3 linked regions of the Canis lupus familiaris genome follow. The protein of the gene in region 3 interacts with the protein of the main gene of each other region in a pairwise test. Links are inferred from orthologs where the notes say so. Each region holds a gene or a part of one and is shown on either strand. Other genes may lie near its edges.

The links.
Region 1: the proteins of YTHDF1 (region 3) and DHX30 interact in a two-hybrid assay, tested with the Homo sapiens proteins (2 studies listed by BioGRID, with this or other methods). The link is inferred for Canis lupus familiaris from reciprocal best matches to the Homo sapiens genes YTHDF1 and DHX30.
Region 2: the proteins of YTHDF1 (region 3) and PRRC2B interact in a two-hybrid assay, tested with the Homo sapiens proteins (2 studies listed by BioGRID, with this or other methods). The link is inferred for Canis lupus familiaris from reciprocal best matches to the Homo sapiens genes YTHDF1 and PRRC2B.

The regions. Positions count from the first base shown.
Region 1 is NC_049241.1:41,532,690-41,540,820, forward strand, and holds the start of DHX30 (ATP-dependent RNA helicase DHX30), read right to left. Parts: upstream 5,170-8,131; 5' UTR 5,155-5,169; coding exon 4,864-5,154; intron 3,473-4,863; coding exon 3,378-3,472; intron 2,521-3,377; exon of another isoform or gene 2,439-2,520; coding exon of another isoform or gene 2,414-2,438; intron 1,310-2,413; coding exon of another isoform or gene 1,255-1,309; intron 1-1,254.
Region 2 is NC_049230.1:52,734,354-52,742,000, forward strand, and holds part of PRRC2B (protein PRRC2B), read right to left. Parts: coding exon 7,646-7,647; intron 7,342-7,645; coding exon of another isoform or gene 7,330-7,341; exon of another isoform or gene 7,281-7,329; intron 6,700-7,280; coding exon 6,572-6,699; exon of another isoform or gene 6,568-6,571; intron 5,993-6,567; coding exon 5,752-5,992; intron 3,818-5,751; exon of another isoform or gene 3,735-3,817; intron 2,945-3,734; coding exon 2,765-2,944; intron 2,154-2,764; coding exon 2,062-2,153; intron 1-2,061.
Region 3 is NC_049245.1:47,784,712-47,792,885, forward strand, and holds the start of YTHDF1 (YTH domain-containing family protein 1), read right to left. Parts: upstream 5,173-8,174; 5' UTR 5,094-5,172; coding exon 5,067-5,093; intron 4,862-5,066; coding exon 4,837-4,861; intron 3,671-4,836; coding exon 3,591-3,670; intron 1,445-3,590; exon of another isoform or gene 1,338-1,444; intron 1-1,337.

The sequences.
Region 1 (8,131 bases), on a different chromosome or scaffold from region 3:
GCTGTCCACACTAATCTCAAACCCAGTGTTTCCCTTTTCAGACACTTAACCAAAGAAACTAGGATGACAGAGATTAATTTTGTGCAATATAATAACAGAGTGGCTAAAAACAAACAAGAAGGCAGAAAGAGGCTGCTGAGCCCTGGGACTTCCAGGCCTCCTTCTGATTTCATCCAACAGGACACCACTCAGCTAAGGTTTTCCAGGCCTCTAGGAACATAAGTGGGAGAGGAGACACAACGGGAAGGACCCTTTCTTTTCTTTTTTTTTTTTTTCAGTAGGCTCCACACCCAGCGTGGAGTGCCATGTGGGGTTCAAACTCAAGTTCCTTGGATCAAGAGTAGCATGCTCAACTGACTGAGCCACCCAGGGCCTCCAGGGGAGAGCCTTTTTAATCAGTAGTTATAGAAGGTCTATTATGGTTGATTTGTAAAACGCTCAGACAGGAACTTCCCGGTCTGCATCAACAGAGGTAACAGGCCTTTTACTCACTGTTCCCTAAAAGGAGGCAAGTCATGCTCCTAAGATACATACACAAGGCCCTCTGAGATGTGGTCCCTGAAGGCTTCCCCAGCTACAGTACTTCCTATAAGCATGAATAAACACTACCCTGCAGGCCAGCCATTGCTCCATTCTATCACTGCTTATACAACCCTCTGACCCTATTTGCTAGAGAGCGTGATTCCAAAACCTGCCACGGTTTCTATGACCACTAATATAACAATGACCCAATCCACACTCACCATCATTTGCTGAGGCCTGCCCTGTGCAAAATGCTATGCCAGGTGCCATAAATGATAAAGGGACACAACAGGCTCTGGCTGCAGGGAGCTTCTAATCTAGGGATGTGGAGATTAGATCCGAATAAACTAAGCACAAGAAAGTACAGATATGGTCCTGAGGAAAATCAGAGAGAGGAGGGACTGAATTTGGTTGACAGAATCAAGAATGGTTCATGGAGAAAATGGGATAAAACACTGGCGTAGAAAAATAGATGGGCTTCCAATGAGCAGTGAGTACATGTGAGAGGATATTCAGGGAGAGGAACAGCAAAGGAACACAGGGATGCGGCCAGGTACTCAGCCATGGGGTCATAAGCACTGTGTGAGGGGAAGGCAGAGAAAGGACTTTGGTGAGTCATGCAAAGAAGGGGTCTAAGGGGTCCTACACACTGGTAAGGAGTCCCTGCAGCCTTCACAGCTGCCCGTCCCAGGGAAGGAGGGCATGAGGTCGCAGGCACAGCTATGTTCTTACCTTTTCTGAATGAGTCCAGGCTGAACATTTCTGGCCAGGAGGGAAAGCTGGAATCCTAAGAAGGAGGGCCAAGAGGCAATGGTTACTATTCTCAGTCCAGGACCCCACAGAGAAGATTTCAAATACACAAAAAGCATGGTCCAGAAGGTGAGACAAATGAAACTCTTCACTACTGAGCACCAACTGCTGCTCCTGGCCTTAAGGATGGAAGGGCCATCTCCACTCTAGAGTAATTACATGGCTCTGTTTCTTTATCACTGAGAGCTTTCTTCTTTTCTCCGTCCTAAACTCCCTAAACCCTGCTAAACAGAACGAGATGCATTTCATCCTGAGAGACGTATTTCCACCTCATCACAGCACTTTGCAGTTTTCCTGGGACTTCTGGGAAGAAAGGAAATTCTATATGGACCCCTTTTCTCATCTGGCACCAGCGAATGGGACTGACTGCCTTATGGACAAAGTAGTTTACTGAACTTTCACAAAACCCAGTCAAGACCCTAGGGATGGGACCTGATGGCAGTATCAAAAAGTAAGTGGACTGTGATTCAAAGTAAAAAGCCTTTTGTGGCAGAGTCTATTATACAACAAATATTAAGTTAAAATTCAACTGTTGGTGGGATGCCTGGGTGGCTCAGCAGTTGGGTGCCTGCCTTCAGCTCAGGTCGTGATCCCGGGATCCGAAATCGAGTTCCACATCGGGATCCCTGTGAAGAGCCTGCTTCTCCCTCTGCCTATGTCTCTGCCTCTCTCTCAGTCTGTGTCTCTCATGAATAAATAAATAAATCTTTAAAAAAAAAATTCAACTGTTGGGCAAAAATTTTGGTACATTTTATTCATTTAACTGAGGAGTATACTTAGAGCCTTAAAACATACACAGAGAGAGAGAGAGAGAGAGAGAGAGAGAGAAGTAACACCTCTGGTTTAATGATTTTTGTTTCAAAAACACTCAAACTCACTTATAGATATTTTTAATAATGTAGTACTCCTGGGTTGGTGCAGTAAACTTACGTGGCCTCAGTTTAAAAACATCTACACAATGTTTTAGCAAACCAGCATAATGTCCAACATTACAAGGAGTCTAATAGGGCCTACACTCCTGCTTCTGACTGCTTTCCCATCTCATTCTCAAATCACGGGGAGATGGGGGTGGAGGGCTGACCTGGGGCCGAATCTTTCAGGTCCATAGCAGGTCTGCCCTGATGGCCTCCTCTCCCCCAGGGATGCCGGAAATTTCAGCCGATAGGATATGGTAGCTCAGAGAGAAAACTTCAATACAATATCAACAACGACACAATTCACTTTAAGAAGTTACATTCTATAGACTCCTTCTATCCAAATTAGAAGAAAAAGGGTATAATTTGAGATCCTAATTTTAAAGAAAATCTGATTATAAAATCTAAAACATCTAAGCAATTATTGAGTCACAACATTTTCTTGCTAAGAAAGAGTAAATTAATTTGCTTATAAACAGACTGTTAGTTCTGCTTTTAAAAAGTCCCTGGCCAGGGGCACCTGGATGGCTCAGTGGTTGAGCACCTGCCTTTGGCTCAGATCGTGATTCCGGGGTCCTGGGATCAAGTCCCACATCAGGCTCCCTATGGGGAGTCTGCTTCTCCCTCTCCCTATGTCTCTGCCTCTCTTTGTGTTGTCTCTCATGAATAAATAAATAAAATCTTTATTAAAAAAAATAAAGTCCTGAACCCCAAAGCCACATGACACTATCTTTTCCTATATCAATCTAAAAAAATCTGTATGATATTCAAGATAGGATGTTTTAAAGATATCTTACTGAGTTCCAGAACATTTCAGAAACTGAAAAAAAATGTGCGTTCCTTGAAATATAATTATGTTGGAAACTTTTATGATTCAGAGTTTCTCTCAAATAATTCAAAGATAAGTAAAATAATATTATGTCAAGAGTTCTTGCATAATGAAACACCACTTAACTCCAGGTAGAGTCACTATGGGATGATTCAAGGACAGAGAAATTCCATAATGGCTAATTAAAAATGATAGCCTTCTTCTAAGACAGTCACAAATGGATTTAATATGTGCCTTTGCTTTACAGTGTGGCTGTATGTGAGATCTGTCACTGCTTTGTGTGCATGGCTAAGTCAACTTACCTTACACGAGCAGTGACAGTCTCAGATTTTGTAGGCTTTTGAACTGAAGCTGAATTCTCTCCTTGCAATTCCTCATCACGAGGCTGGGCCTCCTCCTAGAAAATACAAGACTGGGTCACTATCGGTCACCATAGTGATGAACCTCATACGAAAAATAAAGTTGCTGCAGACCACTGAAATCCATTTACTGACTCTAACAACAAGGACAAGTTTTGTTAATGGCATGAAACCCACACTGGACACACTGGCCTCACTTCAGGACCTGCCATGACAGACAGACTCACAACCCATCAAATTGTGAGCTGCCCTACATCAGCACCTGTAAGATATCAAGAAAGAGGTGTCATGGTGAAAAGGGGCTTGTAGTCCTGAAAGCATTTTCTCCAAGCCCAGAGCAAAACCTGCTTCCAGTTCTGAATTCTAATCCCATAACGACTCTAATATGACCCTACCTAAGATAGATTAAAAAAAAAAAAAAAAAAACCTCTTCCAGGTTAGGAAAATAATGATTACTGAATACCATTTTCAGAGTTCACAAAGTACTTCCACAGACTTTAGAGCAGTTAATCTTTGCAACTTCCCAGTTAGGTAGAAATTATCTTTCCCAGAGAAGGAAATTGAGGCAGATTTTCCCAAAGAAAGTTATGTAAGTTGCCCAAGATCCCATAGCTGCCTCAGGGCAGAATGGAAATCTACAGTTAAGTACTGGACTCCAAAGCTTTCCATGCTTACACTACACTATTTTTCTTATTTCTATGGTACTGTCCTGTTGCCTAGATGTCCCATGGTTCATTCCTGGAAATAATATTTTATAGTGACATAAAGGTTGAAAGTGGCAAGAAGGGTCCAATTGATAAACTTTGGACCATGGCTACAGAAGTTAAAACATTTGGAGAATAATATTCTTTGGAGCTAAAAGGACAACCTACATAGTTTTTAAAAAAAAAAAAATTCAGCAAAGGATGTATTTCTTGCATCTTAAACAGCTCTACAAATAAAGGGCATTATCATAAACTCTATCAGGAAAAAGAGAACTCCCTCCTGGAAACTCCAACATTCCAAGATTTAAGTGTAAATAGTAAGATATAGTCAAGACCCACAATGACAGTGGCTTTACAGCCTTTAAAGAACTGCAAGGGAAACCATCAGACAATGTCTCCTTTCCCTCTGGCCAGTAAGTTGCAACCAAAAACAGTTTTGAGAGTCTGCACCTGGCCATCTGCAGTCCACCTGCTACAGTCTATGGCAAGACCCTGTGGATTGGGGTTGCAAAGTGGGACAATCTCTGCCTTACAACATCACAATTAAGGTGACCAACGTTGCTACACAAGGAGTAGCTAGACAGCATCCTGACGCCATACTCCAGGCTTGGGGGTTCTGAGGACCCCTGGGACTCCAGTTCACTGCAAACAAAGGACCCAACATGCATTAGGTCTTCCCCTGCGAAATGGGGCAAGTCACCACCAGCAAACAAAGAACACCTCACCCCTTGGCCTCCCTCAGTGACAAGGTCGGTGCAAAACGGGGCAAACCAAAGGAGCCAGAATGCACCAGGCCTCCCTTTGGACGAACGGTCCAGGCGGCACGGGGGACAGACAAAGGTCCCGGGGCACTCCAGGAGCTTCCTCCAGGCCCTGCCTCGGGGAACCGAGCATCCCCGGAGGCGGAGGCGTCGTTGCGCCAATGAAGCGGCCTCTCCCGCGGTCCCCGCGGAGCCCCTAGCTACCAGGCCCGCCCCAGCGGACCGGCCTGGCCCCCGCCCCCGCCCAGGCTCCATGGCAACGGCAGGCCGAGGCCTGGCTGCCCACGGCTCGGCCCGGCCGGCTTCGCGGGCAGGCCTAGGATGCCCGGCCTGCTCCTCGGGCCCGCCCGCTTCTCCGCCCCACTCTCCGCCAAGCCGGCGGTCGGACCCGGGCCTCTCCTCGCGCCGACCACCCCCGGCCGCGGCAAGCTCCTCAAGGGGACACGAAAGGGGAGAATAAAAAGCCCAATTCACCTGTTGTTACAGATGTGAAACAAGCCTCGGTGCACCGCGCATGAGCCGCGGGCCCCCCCAACCACGGCCGGACTACAACTCCCACCAGCGGCGGCGCGGCCCCTTCCGGGTCCCGTGGCGGAAGTCCCGCCGGCCGCCCCGGCACTCCCCGCCCCGCCTCCCGCGGCCACCCCGCGTCTCAGCGGGTCTCCAGCGGGTCCCCCCACTCGGGGCTCGCAGTGGCCCCCCAGGGCTCACGCCTCCGGGCGGCCAACCCGCGGCGAGACCCCGGCGCCGAGCCCAATGGGGGGCGGCCGCGGCGGGCGCAGGCGGGACTTCCGGCGGAGCCGCCGAGGGGGTGGGCGCGCGGGCTGCTGTGGGGCCGCTGAGGGAGCTGGTCTGGGCGGCCGGGCCCCACACGGCGCCCCCCTCGCAGCGCCTCAGCATCCGGCAGTGTGAGAGCGGGAGGGCCCTCGCGTGCGTCCGCTGCGCCCCCGCCCCGCGGCCCCACAGCTGCCTCGGGCAGGGCTGAGCCTGGAACGAAATCCTGCTCGGGCTCCGGACCTCCACCCGCCTTCCCCGCCACAGCCCGTTGCCACGCCTCTCCTCTCCGTCTCCCCTCCGATCTTCTGTTTCTTTAGGGAGGTGAGAATTTCTGCCTCAGGACAGTGTTAGGAGGAGACCAGCGCGAGGGCACGCTGTAAACCGTACACCGCTGGGGAAAGGACAAGGTGGCACTGGCTGGTCCGGGCGCCGCTGGGCGGGTCTGCAGGTCTCGCCCCCGCCCCTTGGGCTCCGGTTCCTGTCACGTACATACCGCGGTCCTCTAGACGGGGCTCCCGTGGGAGTTCAGTGGATTCCAACTTCAGAAAGAGCGAACTCAGTTGGGGCTGCTCTGAGGCTCGGTCAAGACGTTACGGCTGGAATGACCCAGAATATGCTTTTAAGATGTGACCTTTCGGGATATATGAAGAATTAGTGCCATAACCCGTTTTTTTGTCCAAGCAATTAAATGCTACAAGTAGTTTTTTTCTTTCTTTTTTTTTTTTCTTTCTTTACATTGGACAGCAGGGTGGGGGAGGTGAGTGTGAAGCATCATCCACTCGTTCAAAGAATTACTACCTTTTCTGAGCAGGGCATGGTGCCATCCTATATGGTGTGTGGGGAATGATCCCTGAACAGGTATCTTGAGTTGAGCCGTATAGCAATTGTTATAAGCAGGTTTTGAGGCTACAATAGCCTGCCCTCAAGGAGTTTAGGGCCTGGTAGACAATATAAAAATATGGTGTGAGGCAAGAAGAAAGTGATAAATGCTGGAGAGGAAGTATATAGCGTTAGAGGGTTGAAAGAAAGGAATATAGTTACTCGATGGCAAAATCGAGGAGAAGGAACCACAGAAGAAAGACAGCCAGTGGAACAAAAGACAAATTCTAAGAGTATGCAGTAGCTCAGTGTGACCAGAGGATTGGATATGTGTACGGGCTTTAGAGGCCATGGAACAAAAAAAGTATAGCTGGGAATGCTATGCTGAGGGATGTTGACTTTATTTGTATGCAGTTACTCTTTGTAAGACATTATTGTTGCACTCCTAAGTAGGAAAGTAAAATAACTAGCGGATTTTAGGAAGGTTATTCTAAAAGTGTGAGGGTAAAATTGGCTGGAAAAAGAGAAGCTAAGGTACAAATGAAATGAGAGGTACTGAGGGATTCAACTGTGCTCAGGAGTGGAAAAGGTTATGACAGGGTGATTGTAGAGTGCCAGGCTGATCCTGCAGGTGACAGGATGTGCTGGGGACTGGAAGGATTGTGCACTGTTAACCATTATTAAGGGACAGAACGGTTGGAGAAGATGATGGATTTTGCTTCATACAGATTATGTTTCAAATGCTGCTGGGTGGGGGGATGCCTGGGTGGCTCAGTCGGGTAAGTGCCTGCCTTTGGCCCCAGGTTCATGATCCCAGAGTCCTGGGATTGAGCCTCTCCTGTGGGGCTCCCACAGGTCAGCTGGGAGTCTGCTTCTCCCTCTCCCTCTGCTCCTCCTTCCACTTGGGCTCTCACTCTCTCAAATAAATAAAAAGACCTTTTTTTTTTTTCTTTTAAATGAAATGCTGTTGGTAATGTTAAGTGATGAACATGTGGTCCCTCCTGCAAAAGATGTCCTGATAGAATGGGAAGAGCATGTAAACAAGTCTTAAAACCTAGGGGAAGCAATGCAAGAGAGGCACAAGTGGAGCCTTCTAAGTGCTTTTCCTTGCTATAGATTTTCTGTTTAGTTTTCTTTCTGAGGGACCTTTCCTTTTTCTTGATCCTTGAACTATTGTTAATGAATGGTTATATCTGGTGAAGTTGGTAAAGTGATCCAGTTTGTAATAAGATGAGTTACAGTGAGTATCTTTTCCCTCTCCCATATATTTCCCCTCTTACTTCCTGTTCATTTTCTTATCACTACCTTATTTTCCTGGATCCAATCCCTAGACTTCTTTCTCTGCTAACATCTCTATCTAGAAACTCCTCTACTTCTTCAGACTATTTAAGGTCCTACTTTGAGCTTCTATAGCAGTTTATTCTCCCCCATGTGGTAGCATTCAGGGCATATTTTGATGTGTCTTCCCTAACTAGGTTGCCAGCCTCTTGGAGTCAAATTTGGGTCCCAATGCCATGTAAGTGCTCCAAGGAGTGTTTGGATATGGCTTACCTCCATCAGATTCTTGTCCTGTGGATTCATGCTACTTAGGTTACTTTTCTTCCGTTTCTTAAGGTTGAAATGTTGGTAGAACCAA
Region 2 (7,647 bases), on a different chromosome or scaffold from region 3:
AGTCAAGCCTAGCACACGGCGCGGCCCTGGCTTGGGCGGCGCCCTCTCCAGCGGAGGAAAGCCAAGACTTCAGACAGCCAGGGTGCAGGGGGCACCAGAGCAGCTCGCAGAGACCCAAGGGCACAGGGGCCGAAGCCCCAGCTGTGGGTAGATACTGACCGGACGAGTGAATGGGGACTACCCGTCTCTCTGGGCCTGGAGGGTCTGGACCGATGGGACTCTGTGACCCAGACAAATGGTCTACGAAGCTGATTTCAGAATGGTGCCAAGTTTATTCCTAGAGTTTTCACTTTTTTAGACAGTGTGTGTGGGAGGGTGAGTGGAAAGAGAAACCAAAAGGAACAAAAATCTTTCAGAACATCTTCCTGAATGTATCCGTTTACCAGACAACCAGTTCTCCTGGATGTTGCCTAGGTGCTATGTGGAAGAAAGATTCTGTGGTCAAAAGCTTGAGAAGTGCTGTGTGCGGGAGTTCATCGGGACCCTGGACAGTGGGGGAGCTCAGACCCTGTGCCGAGCACCACGATCCCAACGAGCACACCCCTAAATATCTGACCAGGGAACCCTTTTTTGGCAGGGCACACCTCAGAAGCCCTGTTTCCAGAAAACCTGGGAAACACTGCTCTATAAAAATACACCAATTTTCCCCCCACTACAACCCCAACAAAACAGAGGCTATTCGTGAAGGCTTCTATGTTCTACGCGTTCTTCAAAGAGCCCACTGCTGTGTCCCTACCCTGAACAGACATGGGCAACTCTTGCTGTGTGAGCATCTGTGCTCTGGTTTGCCTCTGGGACCAGATGCAGCTCAATGTCACCCATGGCGACAGGGGGCTGACAGCATTTGTTTATCCACAGAGCTTCCTTCCTTATTCCAGACTACAGTCATCATTCTGTGTTGCTGTCTGTATCTTTCATACAGTTCTGTTATTTTGGCCTATGTGAAAAATATGGTCACAACACAAAACAAACTAATGAACAAAAATAAATGAAGCCAAAGGGTAAAGTAATAGAAAAGATGATGGAAAGGGGGAAACATCACACAAATGCCTCTGGAAATGCAGGTGGAAGCATGGAATGATGGGAAGGACGGGATGGACGGGACGGATGAGGACCCAGCCTCGACACTTCAAGAGCAGCAGGGCAGAGTGGCCACAGCTGCAAGACCGGAGATGATGCTCTGATCTGCAGACGTGCTCCCCACTCGGAGAGCAGCTATACGCCCCTAGAGGGTCCTCGGGGCGCCCTGGAGCCGGGCCGCTCACCTCTCACAGAGCGCCATGAGTCACACGTCTGCTTTGCTTGCTTACAAACAGGAGGATGCTCCAAGCATCTCCCACGTGTAACAAGAGCCAACCGCACCTGCCCATGGGCCCCGGGCCAGAGCATGCTGCCTCCCCATCCCTGCCACTCTTCCTCAGGGGCAAATAGGTCAGTAAGGCCAGAGGTTCTTTGAGTTTCTAGTATAATAAGTAATTCCACACCAGGATTCATGCAAAGCCACCTCCCAATCCAGCTAAGGGACCTGGGACAGTTAGTTACTGGAGAGGCAGAGACCAAGACCAAGGATGCAAAGAGAAGGGGCCAGTCCACATGGCCCCACAAGGCCAGCAGCCACAGGCCCTCATGGGGCCAGAGGGCCAGTGCAGGGGGCCTGCAGCCCCAGGAAAGGGAATTCTCCTCGCCTTCCAGGGAGTACACCTTCCTGGTCAGCAAATCCTTTGTAAAATCTGGTGGGAAAGCCGTGAGCAGTCAGGTCAGGCCTCACACTATTAAAACATCAGCTTACTACCTTTCCAGAAAGCTCTCCCACACCAGAACATTTTATTATGATGACTAAAAGCAGAATCACTCTGCTAGTTCACTAAAACATGGTTCACTAAAACATGAAAGTGTCCCAGTATTGAAATTTCAAAGTGACATGTGGCCTCAAAGAGGACCCTGCCTCAGTGCCCTCCCATGGCTCTCCCTGGGCCCCCGACTCTTCTGAACCATGGAGTCCCATCTAGACCAAGTATTTGGTGATGCAGCATCTGACCCCCACCCAGGGCATTTCTTTACCTGTAAGTCTGGGGTGATGGCACAGAGCCTCCTGAAGGAACATTCTGTTTACTGTCGGCAAAGTGGAAGCCCTTCATCTCCATCTGAGAGGACTGGAGACACCACAAAGGTATGAGTGGTCATTTGATGGCCCTGTGCTGCCTGGCCCTCACTGAACCACCCTCGTGCAGAGACACTGAGAATTTCCAGCGAGGGAAAGGGATCACCTAAAGCAAACTGCACTCCCCCTCCCCCTCCAATCTAGGCTTGAGAGGCTTCTTGGAACCAAGGACCATCCTGTTTTTGTTCTCTCGAAGTGGGGTGGGGAGAGAGGACTGTGCACCACCACCAGGATGGCCATCAGCAGAGCCCCTGAAGCCGGGGAGGAATGCAGAGCCTGGACCCCAGCCCTAGACACACTCCATGGGGATGTCTGGGACGGTCTCTGAAACGGCCCCACAGCTCCCCTAGCCAAGAGGCCCCAGGCATCACCACCACACACCCCTTCCCTTCTCTTCTGGGTGTCGGCTCATGTTGCTAGCTTGAACCAAGGTGGGGAGGGGTTGCGCCATGGGGTTCCTAGAAGACTTCACCACGAGCAGGAAACCAGTGGTCTGGTGAGGCCAAGAGCTAGCTTGCAGCCCAACCTCTGGAATTTTCTGCCCCAACAGCACTTCCTGACTTAGCTAGCAAGGTTTCTCCCGGGCACGAGAGTCCTCCTTACCTCTCTGCTGGTGTTAAGGACCGAAGGCTGGGAGCCGGGTGGAAGGATTCTTCGGGGGGCCCCGACAGAGAGGCTCTGCCCCTGTGGCAGCTGGATGGACTGTGGTAGAATCAGAGGCTGCTGCCCGGAGCCGTACCGCGGCAGAGGCAGCTGGGAGCCAGGCAGCGGCATCGTCAGCTGCTGGGCGACAGGGACAGTCAAGAGGAGGAATGGATGTTGAGGAGAAAGCCACGAACTACTGTTTACATGTGTCCCCAGGAGAGGACACACATTATACTGCAGGTTCTCATTTTAAGAGAATTAAAGCGTGGCCTCTGCACAGCAATATAGGCTCTAGATTTCTGCTAGGGAATACCCTCAGAAGTAGGGCAAGTCTGATTGCTGGAACCAGCAGGTGGAGAAGACAAGCTCAGGGCCGTGCCAGCAGGTGCTACACTGTAACATGCTCACAGGGGACAGGAGTGGCTCCTCTCCAGGGCTGCAGAGGGCTGCATGCACCCAAGGGAAGCACCAGGACACTATCAGACCCAGGGAGCAGAGAGGACAGAGCGTCATACTGGACACAGACCCAACATGGGGAGTGCGGGCAACAAGCCCCTTATGTATTGGGGGGGTGGGGCGGGGAAGAGTTAGGGAAGGTCAGGAGGCTTCTTAGGAGGTAATGTCCAAGCAAGTCCCCAAACACGAACACTGGATGGATTTCTATCTACATACTGCTTTGCAAGGCAAAAAAGGGAAAACCCCTTTATTGTTTTGCCTCTAAAGGGTATGGAAAACTCAACTGAGTTCTGGGGTAAAGGGTTCCTGGAACTGGAGACTCTTGGATCCTTCTGAAGACTATTATAATAGCAGAACATGGGGGAGAGGGGAATGGTGACAGCAAGCTCTAAGGGACCACTTCTCAAGTCCAGCACCAGGTGGGTGACAAGGACAGGGGGGTGCCTCAGGACTGAGGCAGGGACGCCACTTGTCTCTCAGTCACTTTCCTCTTCATCCCCCTGCATTGAGTCCACGGGGGGGTCAGAAGGATCTATTGGAATTACATCACGGAGACGAGTGGCAGCCAGAGCCTCAAGACCCCACGTTCCTCCTTGCACACAATAGAGTGTGGGACGAAGAGGAGGATGTTACTACGCTTCTGGAGCACTGGCTCCCCATGTGGTATGGCCAAAATTGTGTTTTAGGGGGAACCTCAGCTGCTATGTTGAGAACAGATCATTGGGCCCAAGAGTAGAGCCAAGAGATCTGGGAGGAACCCCCACAGGAGCCTGGACAGGGTGGGGTGTGGAGGGAATGAGAAGTGGCTAGATTCTGTATACCTTCCAAAGATAGAGCCAATGGAACTCGCTGAAGGATCAGAGGGGATGTGAGGGGACATGGGGACCTACAGTGACATAGATAAGACAGCCAGAAGGACCAGGAGAAAAATCAGGTTTTGGACTTGATGCCTTCACACACTATGTTTGATATGCCCTAAGACACCAGAGCAGAGGAGACGGGTAGCCCACAGGTGAGAAAATAAATACCTGGTGGGACTGGGAAGACCTAAGTCCCTTGATGGGACTTTAAGCCATAGGACTAGACAGAGGTTGGAGGGCAGAGCCTAGGGGGCACCAAGAAATCACACACCACACAGGTGAGGAAGAAGGGGTTGCCAGGATGGCAGCGCCTATGAACAGAGTGAAGAACATGACTCCAGGTGTCAGGAGCATCCCGGAGTCAAATGCTGCGGATGGGTCAGCAAGATGAGGGTAAAGAATAACCATCAGGAATTGACTGGTGTCCTTAAAAAATTTTTATGGTTTTGTGTTTTTAATAAGGGGAATAATAGAGTTGGCTGGGTACGGCCCTTCGTTGTGCCCACAGCACACGTGATGTACGTAGGAAGGAGCTGGAGCCTGGCTGGAAGGGCCTTCCCCAAGCTCCGCCAGCCCACCCCTGTGGCAGGAAAGCCCTCAGGCGGTGCTTTGTACAAGATCTCTTGTTTCATCACTGCTTCTATTTCTCTAGTGACAGGGTAGAGGTAGAGGGTGGTGAGGAGAAAGTTGCAAGTCTGAGACGGGCACTGGAGGCTGGAGATTGATGGGGCCCGAGTTCAGGGGCATGGAGACTCCCGAGGGTGGCTGTCGGGGCCTGGCAGCAGATAGCCCAAGCAGGTCTGGTTTTCTGTAGGCACAGACAGCTGTGCAGACACAGGCCTGGACCTAAGTGAGAGCATTGGAGTGGGGACAAGGACAAATGCAATGGGCAGCACCGATAAGCTGGCAGGGAAGTGAGCCCACAGGAGAAGGTGATCAGGTGGCCAGAGCTGCATCGCTAGCAGGGAGAGCTAGCAGAGCAGGGGTGGGCATGAGTAAAACCCTTAAACTTGAGATGGTGGAAAAGGTACAGCTTCTGGCATTGACAAGTCCCGACAGGGCTCCCACGCGGAGCCCTGGTGGCAAGGGGCCGAGGAACAGAGACCAGGCTATCATCTACACACACATCAAAACCACCAGCAGTTACAACAGGAGCTATGCTGGAGAGACTGAACCAGGAGCGACCCTCAAAGTTGTCCAATACTACTGACGGTCACAGGAGAGGAAGACATGAAGCCAAACGCTGGATTCATAATATGGACTCACAGTAACATGGAGGCCAGTGGAGCCATCGACAGTATGGGCTCCAGGGCTGGGGTTCTGGGGAGAACAGAGGGAGAGCTGTCCAGAAGCATTAGTATGCCAGGAGAACATGCACCCCATCTCCAAGCCCCCCAGGATGAGGGCGGGAGAGAGGCTGTGGGAGGAGCAGTGCTCTCAGGGGATAAATAGGACAGGACCGTTCCAGAGAGGCAGAGGACCTAGCCCCAGTTCTAGCAGCCCAAGGACCAATCACAATGGTTACAAGCTGCACATAAGTCAGCAAAATCAAGAGACAGATAAAAAGGAAAAACAGTCACAAGAGAAAGAGGCCCTAGTGTGCTGGGCAGGGGAGATGGAATTCCTGACCTGTGGGAGCTGGGAGTCCAACAACTGGGAGGCGCCTAGGCCCGCAGCCTGACCCAGCTGGCCCTCGTAGACCAGGGCTTGGTTTCCACTCATGGGCTGGTAGGGGGAGCCGGACTGGGGCTTCACCATCTCTAAGGGCTGCATGCCTGGGAACGCCGAGTATGGAGGCTTCAAGGCTGTGCCTCCAGAGAGGATCATGGTGCTGGGTGGTGACAGGCTGGGATGCATGTACACCTGAGATCTGCAAAAGCCAGACAGACGGTGGGTCAGATGTAGGAGCACACCAGTGGGTCTCAAATAGAAGCACGCAGCACGATCCCCCAGAGGGCTTGCTAAAATCCACACTGCTAGCCGCCCCCCACCCCAAGCTTCTGACTCAGAAGGTCTGGACAGAGCCTGAGAATCTGCATTTGTAACATGGACCTAGATGGTGTGGATGCTGCTGGTCCAGGGGCCACAGTTTGAGCATCACTAGATGACACATCCAGGCTGTACAAGGCACAGGAAAACCTATGTGATGCTAAAGGCATGGGACTTCAGACACATGGGAAGAGCAGACCATGGGTATAGGCAGGCGGTGGAGGCAGGCAGGAGGAAGGGAAGATGGAGAGGGGCTGTGAAGGGGTAGGACGACGTGGAAAAAAGACACAAAGCCCACGGAGGAGCATCATCAAGCCCACGCAGCTCCTGCAAGAGTCATTAATGACTCTGAAGTGACCATGATCACCACCTCCCCCCACCAACCACCCCAAAGCAGAGGCGAGGAATGGCAGCTCACAGGCCATAGAGGTGGAAGCTTGTGTCCCTGGCTGCATCTCACCTGAAGGGCTGTAAGGAGCTGAAGATCTCCTGAGCCTGGGAGGCGGGAAGCCCGCCCCTCAGTCCCAGCTGGGCTGGAGCCTGCAGAGATGTGTGAAGGGAAAGAGGGATCTGCTGGGCAGCGGCAGCCTGCGGAGGGGAAGCCAGGCAGGTAACTGGGCAGGTGACCTTGGGGGCCCTCTGAGCTGCTCCCCACCCCGCCCCGCCCCCTGTCCAGCGGCAGTGCAAACACTGCCCCAAATGCAAACTGGGACATGTCCTTCTGGTGCTTTCCTTGCTCTTGGGAAAAAGCAAACAATTGGGTAACAATCCCAAACCCTGGCACGTTCCTATCCTGGATTCTGTACAACAGCAAGAATGAATTCTAGCTACGGTTATCAACAGAGGCATGTCAATGGTGAACAGGACTCATACATGAAGAATACATGCGGTACAATCCAGTCACGTGAAGATCAAAATCTGGTAAATCTAAATGATGTAATAATTAAGAGTATGTTTCATAAAAAGGTTGGGACAGGCCAAGTCCTCTGTCCCCAAATCTGCTTCTGCCCAAGGGCCCCACCGTCCTGGCACACAGTTCTGTGGGCTGCTGGACCATCAGAAGGCTCCACTCCAGCTTCAGGAGGGAGACTTCAGAAATCCGCCCCTTGCAGCACAGAAAATACGCCCATCCTGCATGAAAACAAACACCTGCACGTTTCTAAAACTACCTCTTTCTAATGCATCCATGCCTGGGAGTCTAGGCTTTTCTTCTCTTCATCAGAAGGATACCTGATACCAAAGGATACCAAAGAGAATTCCGTTTCAGCTAATTCCCCAGCTAGGACACAGGAAGAGCTCTGAGAGAGGGAGACAGAGAGTCTGGAGCACTGAGCTCCCGTCCTCTTCCCTGTCTCTCCTGTGTTCATTCACTGAATGTTTCCTGGCTGCTAGGACAGGCTGGGAGCTGGGCATTACATGTGAGGGACACAGGAAGCCAGACAATGAACAAATCAATGAAGAAATTAACTCCACTGTGCGCTGCACCCCCGCCCCACCACACCCTGCCCAGGCCCGCCTGGCTTGCAATCATCACCT
Region 3 (8,174 bases):
CACGCCCTCCTCCCCCGGCTGTGCTGGGAGTGAAACCCCCCAGTCCGTCTGTCCACCCATCTACAGTGTGTAGGGGCTGACTGCTGTGGCCTGATCTTCCAGCAAAACTGACATTCTACTCACTTAAGGGTGAACTGGAATGTGACCCCACTGACATGCCTCATCCTGGACAAAGCCAGACGCAGCCTGCCTGGAGCACTTGCTGCCAACGGATGTACTGCCACCTGACCACTCTTCAGCCCATTGTGCACCCAGGGCCACCAACGAGCAGCCAACATACCTGGGACACAGGTGCGTATGCTGGGTGGTGGACACACATGCTGAGCTTTCCCTCAGCATGTTGGCCACACAAGGCATAGCACACGACAAATCCCCTTAAGGACAATGCAGGTAAAACCACCACCCTGACTGATGCTCTCACATACACAGACTTCTAATCACAGCCTGTGGGAGACACAGGACCTCAAGAAAGGAAGACGGACACATCTTCAGGGCAAGATTAGGCTACAGAAGAGACTACGACAGATCAGCACTGAATCTCGGAACTGAAGAGTTTACACATCATTCCCATAAAGTGAACGTGCCCTATTACACAGACTGAAGGATTGAAAAGAAACTAGGAAAGTTTATTCCTGTTCCTTCCTGTCCCATCAGATGTGACCAGGAAAACAAGTGTGTCGATAACTGAATGTATTCTGAGTATGGTCGTAGCTGCCCGCACTGGCCGGCCCCTCACCCAGAACCCCACCCAGAATCCCCATCTAGAGCCCCTCCAGAACCCCACTCAGAACCTAAGAGACCCTCATCCAAAATCCCCAGGGAGCCCCTTACCTAGAACCCCTCCAGAGCCCCTCACCCAGAGCCCCTCTGCTCCCCAGCGCTCCCCCCCTCCCGCCTGCCCCATTCCCTAAAGCTAACATGTATTCCAAGTCACACAAGGGGCCCAGACCATCAAGATGGTCCTGGGGGGGGGTGGGGGGGTGGGGGGAGACTAGGAAGGAAAAAATGCACCCGAGAAGCAGTGTCCCGAGACCTTTCTGGGGGGAAAAAAAATCACCTACCCCAAGGACAACAGTTCCTTCACAGCATGTTACAAGTTACATTAACTTGAAAGTCCTGCTTTGAAACAGTTTCCTAATCATCCCAGGTATGAGAACCTCAAACACAGAAACAGAAAGAGCTTGCTACTAGGAACATGTGGGCTAAAACAGCCACAAAGTAGCAACCACGGGGCTGACAGCTCTACCCCCACCCTCTCTGTGGCCAAACACAGGCACACAGAGTCACTCATGAGGCTGCACCCTTCACACACGTGCAGCCCGGCACGTCAACAATACCTCAACTGACAACTGGAAGTGCTGCTCCAGGCCACACAAACCACTCTCTCACTGACTCACCAGCACTCTGGCTGCCTGGACACCATGGTGTACCCTCAGCCTGAGACCTGGAGGACCAAGACACAAGAGCTTTCCTCAACAGGGATCTTCGCCAGCAGAGTCCAAAACCAGGGGTGTCATCAATTCCCAGGGGCTTATCAGCAAGGAGGCCACACTGCATGGTGCCCCCACTCCCCATTGAATAAAGAAGTGACAAACACAAGCACAATAGGAGCCCTTGCCATGGACACGCATCCCCGGCCCCCTCCCCCCAATCAGTGGGGAACCAGCTGCCAAACTGGCTCCACCACCTGGGCAACCAGGCCTCTCCAGTCCCACTTTTTCATCCACAAAACAAGAGGACCAGGAACATGAGGATCTAAAAGCTCTCCTGTTACCTGCTTCCTACACTCCCAACAGTTAGGTGTTTCTGGAAAATCTGTTCTCAATCAAGAGCATGCATTTACTCTTAAGGAGCGTGCTGATTAACCATCTTGCTGAAAAGCACACACCCTAACGGCCAAGATAACGCAGCTGTTTTAAGGCTGTTCATGGGAATGTCAACCTACAATGGTCTTCACAGCCAGCTTCCCCAGGGAGAAACAGCTGTAACTACCCTCCTGACAGAAAATCATCTGCTCCACTTCCAAAGCAGTCCTCCCAAATAACATGAAAGCTCCTGCCTTATAAAAACGTATTTCAAGAGTAGTGAAGCAACCCCCTCCAATTTTCTCTGGTTGAAATTTAGAATACACTTCTGCTATATTCAAGTCACATAAGGAAAAAACAAAATACCAAAATGAAATTAAGTCTGTTTCACTTCTTGCCATTAGCTCTAACAATGCATCACTGCAGCCAGGCCAGTTCTACTCTGCAGCTCCAGGTCCTGTGCAGAGGAGGGCTGGGGCTGGGTCCAGGGAGGCTCTATAAAGGGTCTCCTTGGTGCCTCTGCTGCTGAGCTGCTCAATGCAATAAAAAGGAGAAAACTGGAGAAAAGTTCTAAGAAACTTTAAGACTCTTTAGACAAGAGCAGACTAGGAAGAAAAGGAACAAACTAACTTTACTCCACTGCAAGAAAAGGCAAAGTTGGGATCCCTGGGTGGCGCAGCGGTTTAGCGCCTGCCTTTGGCCCAGGGCGCGATCCTGGAGACCCGGGATCGAATCCCACGTCAGGCTCCCGGTGCATGGAGCCTGCTTCTCCCTCTGCCTGTGTCTCTGCCTCTCTCTGTCTCTCTCTCTGTGTGACCATCATAAATAAATAAAAATTAAAAAAAAAAAAAAAAAAAAGGCAAAGCTTGGTTTTATCCTAAAGCAAACATATGTAATACATTTAAAACCTGGTAGACATCATGCTTAAGCCTATACTGCACTAGCCCAGCGGACTGAACCAGGGCAAGCTGGCCCCCAGGAGACACCACCAACACATTTTTTGTTGTCACACTGGTGTGTGTGCAGGGGAGTCCGTTACTACTGGCATCTCATGGATAAAGGCCAGAGAAGCTGCTAAACATCCTACAACATACAGCGCAGCCCCCCAAAGAATGTTTCAGTGCAAAACATCTATAGTGCCAAGGTTGACAAACTCTGAAGCACCCAAGAAAAATGGGCAGCTGTGACCTTTCTGGCCCTGCACAGGTACCAGTTTGAGCTTCACGTGAGCCACCCGCTGTTACCATCCCCACAATTCTGTGGGCAGTCACTACAACCGGGTCTACCGAACAGGAAGAGAGGTAGAGAGAAGGCAAGTCCTCTAAGGAAGGGGCAGGGAGTCAGTGGTAGAGTGAAGATTCAAACATGAGACCAAAGTCTGGCTCCAGAGCTCAGTTCTTAGATGCTCTCCTAGGCCACCTATTCTAATTGCCCAGAGGTAAAATAAATCACCAGAAAATTTCAGAAAACCGCACACATTTCCACTCCATCAAAAACAGTGCATCACTGAGCCATCCATGTGAGGCCAGCAGAAGCCCACCTGCATGCAGCCCCCGTGGGACACCACTTCCTCCGAGAGCACACCCGCTACACTGCGCTCATGCCCTACGTGTAACTCAAGGACAGTCAACCAAGCAAGTGGTCAGTACGCTCTCTACTGCTAGTACTTTATACTGCGCTTCTTGATCGTTCAGGAGAATAAGGTGAAAAACTGTTAACAACAAAAATGTGTTACAAAACTCAACAAAAATGAACATAAAGATATAGGCCATAAAATAAACTCACCTGATTTGACTGTCCAGAAAGGTAGGGCTCAAAGTCATTGTCATGGACTGTATCCTTCTGATGCAAAGAACCATTTTGTACTAGAACAAAAAAAAAAAAAAAAAAGGAAAAATATAATTTTTGAATCTTAAAAAGTTGCTTTGATGCACTAAGATCAAAAGTAGTCAAGTCTAGGGCAGCCCAGGTGGCTCAGCGGTTTGGCACCGCCTTCAGCCAAGGGCGTGATCCTGGAGACCCGGATCGAGTCCTGCGTCGGGCTCCCTGCATGGAGCCTGCTTCTCCCTCTGCCCGTGTCTCTGCCTCTCTCTCCCTCTGTGTGTCTCTCGTAAATACATAAAATCTTAAAAAAAAATAAAGTCTACACCCATCAACTCCTAGAACCTGCCTTTATTTAAAAAGGAAGACAACCAGCATCCAACTAATAGGTACACAAGTAATTAACGCGGTGATGCACAACTTCCAGTAACTTTACGTTTTTGACGCAAAGCTAATCATAATTCGATAGAAGTCGGCAAGACGCAGGTGCAGACAGAGTAACACAAGGAACTAGTAACTGGGTCCTGGTTAAGACGACCAAGCGGAGGTCAGCGGGCCCAGGGTGCGTGCAGGCCGGGGACCCCCGCCGCGGCTTTCAGCGCAGGGCAGCCGGGGAAGCTTCTGAGCTCTGAGCTCGCCGTTGTCCGGCTCTCCACTTACTTCCCACTGTTACCATGGCTCAGCCAAGAAAAAAAAAAAAAAAGAAAGAAAGAAAGAAAAGGTAAATAAAGCGTTGAGCCTCTTCCAATCTTAAAACGTGATGAACCATATTTGGTTACACCCGAGTTTAAAAAAAAAAAAAAAAAAAAAAAAGCGTCTTCCAAGTAAACAAGCAAGTGTCACTTACGGGTTCTCCCCAGATCGCGTTCTGGGGGTTTGTCCGGAGCCACAACATCCCGGGCGATGCAGGGGGCCGAGGGGTGGGGGGTGGGGAGCGGGCGGGCGGGCGGCGGGCGGGCGGCCCCTCCCCTCCTCTCCTCCCCTCCCTCCCCGTCCCCGTCCCCATCCGGCCGAGGGTCCCTGAGCACCCGCAGGAGCCCCGCGCTCCGCCGCCCGACCTCGGCTCCCGCAGCCTCGGGGTTATCTCCCGGAAGCACACGGGAGCAAAGTTTCCGGTTCCAGATGCCCTTCCTGGACCTGCCCCCCCGCCCCCGCCCCACGGCCCGCCGCCGGTCGGGGGCCCCGCGCAGCCCGGGCCCACGCGGCTCACCTTTAGTGTCTTGTCCTTTTGTTCTCTGCGTGGCCGCAGGGGCCGGGAGGGCGCGCAGCCGGGCGGGCGGGAGGGAGACACAGAGTTACCCACGAGGACCGGTCCCGGGCGCGCGGCCCCGCCCCGCCCCCCGCCCCCCGCCCGGCCCGGCCCGGCCGCCCCGCCCCCCGCCGGCGCCCTCCCCCCGCGCCCGCCCCCGCGCCCGCGCCCGCGCCCGCCCCGGCAGCCACCTGGGGGTCCACGCTGGTGGCCGACATGCTTCATGAACGGCGCGGCGCGGCGCGGGGCCGGGGCGCCCGCCGGCTCGGGCCTCCCCGCGAGGCCGGGCCTGTCCCCCGCGCTCTCGCGGCCCCGGGCCCGCCGCCTCCTCCCCGGGCGCCGGCCGGGCGGCGGCGGCGGCGGCGACTACCGGGCGCGCGGGGCGCTCGCGGGGCGACGAGCCTGGACGGGACGCACGGACGAGGCGCCGACTCCAATGGCGGCGGCGGCGGCGGCGACGGCGGGGACGAGGCTGCGCGACGTCAGCGCGCGCGGGGCAGGCCGGGAGCGCCGACGGGCCGCCACGCGCCGCGCCTGCGCGCCTCCGCCGGGCGGGACGGATCTCGCGCCGCGGGTCCCGGTATCGCGCGGCGGGGGCGGAGCGCGCCCGGGAAGTCACGTGGGCGGCGGCGGCGGAGCGGCGGGGCTGCGGCGGGCCTGCTGGGACGCGCACCTGCCCGGCCTCGGCCCGGGGCGCCCGGGCGCAGCCCCGAGGTCTGGAGGTCAGCCGGCGCGTGCGGCCCCCAGCTAAGCCACCGAGAGCAGGCCGGACCCCCGCCCGCAGACGTCCCCCGGCCCTCCGAGGGGCGGCCTGGGTGCGAGCGCCGCGGTCGCTGGGGCCGCACCTGCGGGGTCCTAGGCTTTGTCTGCGCTCGCCTTCTGCAGCCGCCGTCCCGGGGAGCCCTGATCTGCGGCCTCGCTGAGCGTCCTGCTTGTCCAGCGCTGTCCTGGGCCTCCAGGGCCGCCCCCCAGTTCAGCACCAGATTGCACGTGACGGCGTCCGCTGCAGATTTCACCGCGGGGGGCAGAGAGGTCAGCCCGGCCTGTGCCCTAGTCCCCCTAGTCCCCCTAGTCCGGCAGGGCAAGGGGCCTTTTGGTCTCTGTTTAAGGATGGACAGCCGCTTCTTGAGCGTGACCTCCTGGAAGGAGTGCGGTTCTATTCCACGCTCACCCTGGACCCTGCTCCCAGCTCCAGAGCCCCTGCAGCCACTTCCCACCCTGGCTCCCAGGTGCGGGGGAATCTTTTCCCCCTTCCCAGCCCGTTGCGGCCCACTCTTGTAACATCTTCACAAGCCCCAGGTCTGGGCGCTTGTTCCGCGGAAGGAAGGGGAGAGGCTGAGTGCTGGCTCCGGGTGGGGCATCAGGCAGGGGGGCATCAAGAAGAGCACTCCCCGAAACAGGGCCAAGGCAGATGCCAGCAGGCGGGCCATGCTCTAAGCAGGGGGACGGGGACCGCTAGGATCGTGGTGGGACGCCAAGACCAGCTTAGAGCCGGTACCCGCGCTGGGGAGACAGGAGCAGCGGGGTACCAGGCAGCATCTGTAACGGCTGCAGGAGGAGGTAGAATTGACAGTGGCAGGTGGGTGGGCCATGGGGGCATCCACTGCTCCAAATTGCTCATCACTAGGTCTCCCTGGGGCCCTGCCTGACGTAAGGATGGGAAAGGCAGGCTGGGCACAACCCAGAGGAACATCTGATGCCCTGCAGGTGAATCTGGGTCCAGCAGGACTTTGGTTCACTTGGGCCACGGGCAGCTCATGGTAACGTGAAGTCACACATTTGGGGTGAGTCCTGTCCAGAAAGGTGGTAGATGCAGGGAAGCCACATTGAGATTGTGGTTGCCAGCAAGGTCGTGGAGGCGCAGGGCACCTAGTGCTGTCTTGCTGCTGCTGTCTGCCTCTGCGTAGGTGAGGACTTACCACTTGGAGCATCCTCCTCCCTGGGGCCCAGAACAGCAGGGCGCCTGTGACCAGAGCCAGGAGAATCCAGTGCTCAGCTCTGTTGGAGCCCCTGCTCCTTGCTTCTCCAGCTGGCAACCCTCAGGCAGGACTGCATGGTGGTCACAACAGCGTCGTAGGGCCACACAGCCAGTTCCAGCCCCTTCCCTGTCCTATGCTCCATTCCTCCCTTGTTTGGGGCAGGACAACTCTCCTCTTCCAGGTAAAGCACGAGGAGTAGATGAGGGATGCACAGCTTCAGCGCCAGGGCAGGCCCATAAAAGCTGGCCGTTATGCCCCGTCCTCCCCCACATCTGCCTAAGGAGCCGTGGGAGGCCACAGGCTCCGGAGGAAGTGGCTGCTGGAGCTCGGCTGGCCTTGGATGAAGCCCCAGGGGGACCGTGTGAGTTTCCGTGGCTGCTGTAATGAAGGACCACAAACTGGGTGGCTTCCGGCACAGGAGATTGATTATCTCCCGGTGTCATCAGGCCCGCAGTCCCTCCAGGGGAAGACCCTTCCCGCCTCTGGCAGCTTTGGCAGCCCGAGGCCTTCCCCAGCTCTCTGCCTCCAGGGTCACACGGCCTTATCCTTTGTTTGTCTCTGAGGCTCCCTCTTAAAAGAACACCTGTCATTGGATTTAGGGCCCACCTTGATCCAGTAAGTTGTCCTCCCAAGTTCATTCTGTCTGTAAAGATCCTACTTTCAAATAAGGCCACATTCACAGGTACCAGGTAGATGCGAATTTGGGGGAGCACTTTTCAGCTTAGGACACAGCTGGTATCAACTGGAAAATTTGGAGAAGAGCGTCCAGGGGCTGAGCTGAGTTACCTCCACAAAGGGGAAGGACTGGCCCTGGAATGAAGGCTAGAGGAGGCGCAGTCGTGCCAGCTTGCTGGTCAGGAAAGGGGCGACAGGTTTGACAGCCACCACACAGGCCCGCCCCCGGCCGCTGGAAGTGTTCCATGCCAGGCTCGGTGAGGGGGGGAGCGATGGCTGCCCAGGACAGGGGACGGGGGGCAGAGCGTGGGCCCCAGAGCAGCTTGAATCTGCAGCCAGCACAGAAGGCTGAGGCCCCCTAGGCCACCCCAGCCTTTCCCTCTGCCAGGCCTGAGGACCCAGGAGGGGTGGCGGGACACAGTCTGGAGCTGAACCACTGCCAGGGCCAACCCTGAGGGCGGTTGGAGAACCTGCCCCCGTTGTGCCCTCCCGCACCAGCTCCTCAGGCCAAAGAGGCTTGGGCCCTGCAGGCTGGGGACAGGGCAGCCCCTGGCACGGTGGGCTTAGGCCCTTGATGGCAGTGACTAGCTTAGGCTTCGGAGCAGTGCAGGAAACTCCGGAGCAGGGGTGGCCCTGCCCCAGGGT